2 linked regions of the Tribolium castaneum genome follow. Each later gene encodes a partner of the first gene's protein in a complex. Links are inferred from orthologs where the notes say so. Each region holds a gene or a part of one and is shown in the gene's direction. Other genes may lie near its edges.

Region 1 (4,354 bases):
GTCTGAATAGCATAAAATAGCAATAGAAAAGTGTACATTGACATGCTTTTATTTTCATCCGTTCACGATGCAACATTCATAGAGTACCTATTTATAAGTAGAATGTAAAAGAATAATGAATATCAATTATATCATATAATTTATGTTAAAATAGGTTTCACAAATTCTTGCCATGATGAATCCTAGCCTAGACTGAAATTATAAATATTGCTTTGTTACGTAATGAGAGTAGAGTATATGAAGTGTTTTAGTTGTAAAGGATGTAGTTACACACACTTTAGGGGTTAAAACTGCAATTCTGTAACGAAGTCTGTTATATTTTTACCGAAAGTGCTCATGCTGTTATCAAATTAGGTGACGTAACTTTGGGAAATGCTTTTGACGATGAGAGCGATTTTAACAAAATCATTTCTTATTCACAAAATTACGATTTGTTGAAAATTTCCTTCACAGTCATATTCACCTTATAAGTAGGGATTTTTTTCAGAATCATGTAAATAAATGTAGAAAAGTGCCTATTTTAAATTGCGCATCGCTACCCTCTTGGTCAACTATTAGAGTAATCTCAAATTATTTAATGTTTTAACTGTTGTTATAATTTGGTTTATAATTGAATAAAGCTGCATTTTTACAGTTTGCCCGCATTTCCTTCAACACACAAAAACATTTCAAACAAATTTATTCAACTACTATGTTACAAAGTAAACTATCATAGCGTGAAACACAGTAAGAGGACCGCAAATCCCAGACGCTCATACTGATTCATGATTATTGCAGCAACGCCAAAACGAAAAGCCGCTTTCATAACTCTTGCATTCCAAAACATTATTATCAGACGCAGCCAAGTTGAGGAAGGTCTTGTCACACTTGTCTCAAACGCTGGTGCATTCACCGGCTTGTCGTTTTTTCCACCACTTTTATGAAACACTCCATATTTGTCGATGTAATAACTGATTCGCCCTTCGGGGGCCATTCTGAATACTGTTTCCACCTTTTTTTTTTTTTTCAAAGAGTATCCTTACATTTGATTGTTATGTATACACTCACAACTTCTTTTTTTACTTCACTTTGGGACACTGGGTGGAGCTACCACCAGAAACAGCTTCCAAAGCATTCGAAAAAAACATTTTTTATTGCATTCCATTCGCAAGAAAGTGAGGTTAAAAATTTGACAACTTGCCACTAAAGTAGCTACCGCGCAAGCTACCGAAATACTTAATAACAGAATATGCCATAAAATTCGACAAATACAAAAAGGTGGCCACAATCTATATGTATTTGATAACATTAAACCAGCTACACCCAAAATACACTAATTAATTAAAAAACAGTCATTAAATTAATACTTTTCGATCATAAAAGCCCTCGTCAAAAATCACGGTCTGTACGTAATATCTAATAATGTCTGCGTATGAAATTTTCAAGATTATTAATTTTTATGAATAATAAGATCTTACGAAATTATTTAGACAAGTGTGCTTGAAACATTACATAATCTTACACTGATTGTGGTTGACTTTCTTTAAAAATCAGGCAAAACTTCTGCATAGTTTGTCCAGGTTTGACACTTTGACAGTTGACAAATATAAACAACGTTCAAGCTTGTTATAACGATAATTCTTGTGTGCGAATTTCTACTTCAAGAATGTTTATTCAGTGATACTATTAGTCACTTTCCTGGCAAGGTTCTTGTATTTGATTTTTGGACGTTCGGGCCAACATAACCTCAAAATGAGTTCAATTGAAGAACGTTTACAAATAAAGCGTGAACCGCTGGATAAATGGTCAATCCGTGAACAGTTGGCTCTAGCAGTGGCTCGTAACATGGACCAGAATTTAACAAGTGTGAGCCGAGCTTTAAAACCCTTTGGTGAACCCAACAGACCCCCTGATTGGTTCCACCAGAAGAACTGTGCAGCCCAGTATGGGGCTCTTTTAGCGAATGTTGAAACACCTAAGAGGAAGAAAAGAACGTCTGGGGGCGAAGTCACTATCGAAACCCCCGCCGAAGTCATTCTACGCAAACTTTTGGCCGAGAGACAAGCTGAGCTCAAGAGACTACTAGCGGAAGAAAAAGCAGAATATCAGAAATTGCAGAGAGATAAAGCTCTGCTTCAGTCAGGTATTCACAATTAAATTAAAGTTGTTTGAAGTTACAGGGGCTATATTAGAGCCTCTCAAACTTAAGACTGTTGCGGAAATTCGGTTAAGTATTTTTTGATAATTAATTGTTTTATTTAAAGGTAACGTAAGTGAAGAACAACTGGATATTTGGTGTAAGGAAATAGATGAAGAGGAACACAGGAAGGAACAAGAAGCCCTGGCACACGAACAGTGGCTAAAGGAGAGGGAGTTACGAAAACAGGAAATAGAAAGAGCGTGGAGACCAGTTAAGCCATCCCCGGTGATTGGTCAAAAACGTAAAAATTCCGAAGCTATGGACACAATCCCAGAGATGGAAAATACAACAGAAGAACAGAAAATCCTAGTGCAGGAGCCCCCTAAACCGGCCCTATCGCCACTTCTGACAAGTCTTCTGAAATCACCATCACAAGTTCCAAACGTTACAACTTCCTCAATATTGCATTCAGCGATTACCAACCAACGGCCAACCAACACAACTACTAGCCCCATGATTGCCAGTCTTTTAAGCTCCTCAACTGGAGAAACAGTTTCTCCAGGATTGCAACTTTTGGTTAGTACAGCTATAGGACAAGAGCCAACCGGAGAAGAAACCCAACAACAGAATGTCAATACTAACGATATCCTCGATGATGCCAATCTACAAATTTTGAAAATTGATGACTTGGCGAGCAGTATCTTGATCCAGAATGGCCCACTTCCAGAAATAAAGAATGACGTTGATGTTATCATCTCCGATTTGATTGAGAACGCGCAGGATATAGTTGCAGATCCGGAACAGCATCTACAACTGGATGGAAACGGTGATCTTAATCTAAATTTGGAACTGGAAGATTTCGAAGAGAGTGAAACTGATATGAAGGACGAAACCAAAGAAACAGAAAAACGGACGGAAACTACAACACCGGCAATAGATCCGTTTGAGTTCCAAGAAGATCCGGAAGTTTTTGAACCCGCTAAACCTGCAACAGCCGTGAAAACAGACGCTTCTAAAACTATGGTAGCACAGGACAGCGACGATCGGTCACAAACTACTGACGAAGCCCCAAATTCAGACAATAAACACTTAACTTCAAATGGCGAAGAATCTCGGGATGAACTGGTAGAAGTAAAAAACGAACCAACTGATGATTCCGATAAGAAAGATAAAAGCACAACTCCTGGATCCGTCGAAATTGTAGAAGTTGTAGTTATGGATGATGAGGATACTGACAAGGAAGTCAATAAAACTGAAGATCCAGCCCATTCCGTTAAAGCGGAACCAAAGAAAGAAACAGCAGGGGAAAGTACAGAAGTTGCGGAAATAAAATCAGAAACAGACGCCAAAGTTTCAGAAAATGAAAAATCTAGTGTAGAGATTGAGAAGAAAGACGAAAGGAAACTGGACGAGTCAACCACATTGACTTCCGACTATAACGAGGAATTGTACGACGATATCAATATGGAAGTGAAAGTGGACAAGACCGGGAAAGCAAAGCGCGATTATTCCAGGACGAAGAAGAAGGACGATAAAGAATTTGATGTTCTCTTGGCCATTGAAAAGGCGCAAAGAGACGAAAGTGAGTTGGTTGAAGAGAGTTTCTCTGACCGGGATTACAGCGAACTGGACCGTAAAGACAGCAAATCGCGGATTAAGAGCGAGAATGAAAGATCTAACAGTCCCTGGACGGAGGAGGAAGATGTGTCTACAATACGGACAAGGAGGCGACTTTCAACTCCTGCGACTCCGATTGATTCAGTTCCAGGATCACCAGTTTCCAGTATATATTTTTACGATGATGATCGGGAGTATCGCAATTGGAAGAAGTCTATAATGCTTGTGTATAGTAGATTGGCTGCAAATAAATACGCGTCACTGTTTTCTAAACCGATCACCGATGACCAAGCTCCAGGGTATCACAGTGTGGTGTATAGACCCATGGATTTGTTGACGATTAGAAAGAATATAGAGAATGGGGCTATAAGAACAACGCAGGAGTTTCAAAGAGACGTCCTTCTTATGCTTAATAATGCAATTATGTATAATAAAACAAATGATACGGTTTATAATATGGCGAGACAAATGCAACAAGAGTCGATGCAACAAATACAGATTTTGTTGCAAGCGCAATCGCAGGATTTGCCTGTTAGGAGGGAAACTAGGACTAGTGAGCCAGGGTGTAAGAGGAAGAGGGGTAATGAGGAGAATTCCAGGAGTAAGAAAAGGAAGGAT
Region 2 (3,996 bases), on another chromosome or scaffold:
GTCAATTTTCGCCCCCTTCCTCTTGCGGGTGCTTAAAACATCTATTTGAGCACGAAAGTACAAAAATAAGGGTGGTAATACCTGGAGTCGTCACTTGTTGGATATTGGAGTTCAGGAGGGTTGTAAATGTTGTAAGTCTGGGGGGTTTCGTAAAAATACGCTTCTCTGTTTTTGTAAAAATGGTAAGCGAGGACGCCAACACCCACGATGGCCATGGCAAAGAAGGAAAATCCTTGGAAAACCATCCTGGCACTAAAATTCCCAACAAACTTACAAACCCAATTTTGACTTATTTAATTACGGTCAAAGTGTCTTTAGGGTGCAGGCTAGTTGTTTGATGTCTGCTTGCTTCACAACCACTTACGAATATCTTACATATTGAGTGTAAAGCTGATAAACAGGGTTTTGTTATTGTCAGAAATAACTGTCAACAATATTACATAACCTAACAACTTTCTTTCTCTGAAATCGGAATATTCGCGGTTACAGTAATTTTTCACTTTATTTTTACAAAACTTATTGGCTGGGATTAGTAATACACAACAAAAAATGGTTCAAAAAACTTTATTTTTGACCTGTACATTTTCCTTTCATTCAAATTACAAGAAAAAATGAAAAACTATATTCTACAAGAAACAATGAGACAAATAAATTAATATTCTAGTCATTCTACAATTCTACATACAGTTTAGGAAACAATAAATGTTAAAATTCGGTTAACATCCTGAAAGGCACAAAATTGTACATATTGCTCATAATAATTGTCATGATTTCAGTTGTTTTAATTAATCAAAGGTTATTTAAAAAAATAGGAAAAAAGCATGAGTGTAGCTGTAATGCTGTTCCTAATGCTAATAAACCTAGGATATGTTGAGATTTGTTAGCTGAGAAAAATTACTGTATCTTAGTTTATGCACATTTGCGACAAACTGGACAACTTCTGTTTTCTTTGAACCATCTTGTGATACACTGATCATGAAATTTATGTTTGCATGGTAAAATAATGCCACCATCACCTTCAGGCAATGGTTCACAACATATCACACATTCCGGAACCGAGTTTCTTCTTTTTTTTCTGTAAAAAGGTGTTTTTGTACGTTGCAGTTACATAATAAGTTACTCACTTGTTCTTTCCTGTATCTGCTGTATCTGGTGTTCTTTCCTGTACCCTCGGTGTGTACACATATGTATACTTATTGTCGCTCTGGTGACAAGAAGCTGTGTTGTTTCTAGCAGTGTAGACTTCATATATGGCCAACCCAATTGCAAAAACCATCGCAGTCATAAGAACTATGCCTTGAACTCCCATCTTTGTTTTCTCTTTTTGTAACGGAAATGTGGCTGGCTATTGTAACAATTACCTACCTTTGCAACAGCAACGTCAGCAGCAGCTGAAGACGACTTATTGATAATTCTGTAATTCCCCTCGATTTATCAGGACCACCAACAAAAAGACGAGAAATAACTCATTTTCACCCTTTTGGTGGGGTTATTGCGGAGGAAAAAATGAGATCAATTCTAAAAATATTCCCACACGCACGTATTTATTCCATTCATTCATTGTAAAGTGCCAAAATCTTTTTTTACCAAAATACGAAAGGACTCGAACGCTTGTTGCAGTGACATATGAAACTTAGCTATTGGTACTTACTGATAATTCTATGGTATCTAGCAAAATACTAACCTTAAAATTTCGCAGTTTGACAGATGGTGTTTAGTGCTTGTGTTTTTTATTTAATTAGGAAAAATATTAAATAAAAACCATTTACTTTGTAATAAAACTTATCATTGGTTTGTTGTCCCTGTCCCAGGCGAGAAATTCGTTACAATGGCAAAAAGAGAAAAACGGGCAAATGCCGGTAACCGTATGGCAAAATTGTTAGATGAAGAAGAAGAATGTCAAGACGAATTCTACAAAACCAATTATGGTGGTTTTGAAGAAACCGAATCCGATAGGGAATACGAGTACTCACTTCTGATTCATTTTGTTCCGTTTTGTTATGGTTTAATTGCAGGGAGGAGGAAGAAGGCGAAGATGTGGTAGATTCCGACTTTAGTATTGACGAAAATGACGAACCTATTTCAGACAATGAGGAGGAGGGTCAGAAGAAGAAACGAAGATTAGTTACAAAGGCTTACAAGGTAATGCACGATTATGACGTTCGATTTTTTGTTAATTTTTATCTGAAACATTGTAGGAACCAGTGCCTGCACCCAGTAAACAAAAAGCAAAACCAAAACCCACAAAACCTGTCCCTAAAGTCAGAACAACCCAACATGAATCCACAGAATACGGTTTGAAAATAACGAGTTAGTTAATAATATTTGGCAACAAACGTGTTACAGAAAGAAAGTCAATCAGGAAGTCCACAGCTGCAAAATCAGCCGCAACAGCACAACGCATCAAAGTACGAAATCTCGAACAAAAGAAAAAAATCAAGAAACCGAAAGAAGAAGAATGGGTGCCAACACAGGAAGAGTTACTCGAAGAAGCAAAAACGACCGAATTGGAGAACTTGAAGTCACTTGAAAAGTACCAAAAGATGGAAAGTGAGAAGAAAACGAAACGAACTGTGAAAAAAGTCATCAATGGCCCTGTTATCCAATACAGATCAACACGAATGCCAATCATTGAGGAAATCAATCAAGATAAAGACATCAAGAACGAATCAGAAAACGTGTGCGAACGCACGTTTATCTCAGTGCTTAATGACCCTAACGATGCCACATTTAACAGCATTTTTGAAAAAAAGACAGCGCGTCCGCTTCCACGACGTCTCAGATGCATTGTCACAGGGTAAAAATAGCTATTTATATGTGCAGGGGCAATTCTTGCTCCCGTCACGTGTACAGGGTGAGTCATTGATATGACATACACCGTCAGTGGTATCGTATTCTAAAATTCTTTGTCCGATAATACAGTCTTCCATTTTTACAGTGCAGTCTAAACATAATTTTTTTAAATGTCAGGGGTTATTTTTTTATTTTTCTACAATTTAATCTGCAGGCATATTACAGTGACTCACCCTGTATATATTTTTTTCGCCTAATTTGGAGGTGCAATGTGCACAGTATGTCTTTCCTGTCTAGGGAGGAAAAGACATAGTTTGCACTTTTGAATTAGGGAGCAAAATATTTTCTAAAAAGCGACGCATTTTTTTATTTTTATTTATTTTGTGTTTTCAGTCACCTTGCAAAGTACGTTGACCCTAAAACGTGTCTGCCTTACCACAGCAGCATGTGTTTGAAGATAATTCGTTCTGCTTATTACCAACAACTGGAAGCTCATGGAGATAAGAGTAATCCAGTAGTTGCAAACTGGCTTAAGTGGTACGTTAAGAATAAGGATAAGTTAAGGAGGGAGTTGGCGTTGAAAGTAAAAACACATCAGGTGGATCACAGTTGATTTATTTTGCTCTATTTAATAAATTTTTATAATACAGTTTCTATTTCTTTCAAATAAAACTGTTTTGGTCTGAGATCAACACGATTAAATGTTAGTGAATGAGTTTGCAACAAATTTGGACGAATGAAAAGCGTCGAAAACGTTTAGTTAATATATTTATTAAACTGGTGCACAAATAATACATTACCATAATCTCAGTAGCCAATAATTTGGCTGAAAATTGGCTTATGAAGTACAACAAGAATTAATAACATTAAATATTATTAATATGACACATAAATTACATCTAGTTTAACATATCATATAAAATTAATAGGTATTTGATAAGCTACCTCATTAATTAATGCCATTATTACTTTGTTAAAATAATTTTAGCACTTGAGTATGAACAGTGTATATCAAAAGAGTAGTTCGATTAACAATGCGAATTTGTTAATAGATTACTGTTTTAATATACAATTCGTTAAAACTCTGAGAAAACGAAATTAATCTCTAATCTAAGTACAACATAATGTAAATATTTATAATAGTTAAAAAATCTTTAAAGTACTCTCAGCAAAACAATTTCATGTCCGAAAACAATTTTCAAT

The links.
Region 2: Brd8 (region 1) and YL-1 share a complex: the UniProt entries of both Homo sapiens proteins name them as parts of the nuA4-related complex. The link is inferred for Tribolium castaneum from reciprocal best matches to the Homo sapiens genes BRD8 and VPS72.

The regions. Positions count from the first base shown.
Region 1 is NC_087396.1:10,840,405-10,844,758, forward strand, and holds the start of Brd8 (bromodomain-containing protein 8), read left to right. Parts: upstream 1-1,330; 5' UTR 1,331-1,731; coding exon 1,732-2,122; intron 2,123-2,243; coding exon 2,244-4,354. UniProt on the Homo sapiens protein: May act as a coactivator during transcriptional activation by hormone-activated nuclear receptors (NR). Isoform 2 stimulates transcriptional activation by AR/DHTR, ESR1/NR3A1, RXRA/NR2B1 and THRB/ERBA2.
Region 2 is NC_087397.1:8,921,960-8,925,955, forward strand, and holds YL-1 (vacuolar protein sorting-associated protein 72 homolog), read left to right. Parts: upstream 1-1,682; 5' UTR 1,683-1,828; coding exon 1,829-1,965; intron 1,966-2,015; coding exon 2,016-2,142; intron 2,143-2,198; coding exon 2,199-2,295; intron 2,296-2,346; coding exon 2,347-2,797; intron 2,798-3,186; coding exon 3,187-3,406; 3' UTR 3,407-3,442; downstream 3,443-3,996. UniProt on the Homo sapiens protein: Deposition-and-exchange histone chaperone specific for H2AZ1, specifically chaperones H2AZ1 and deposits it into nucleosomes.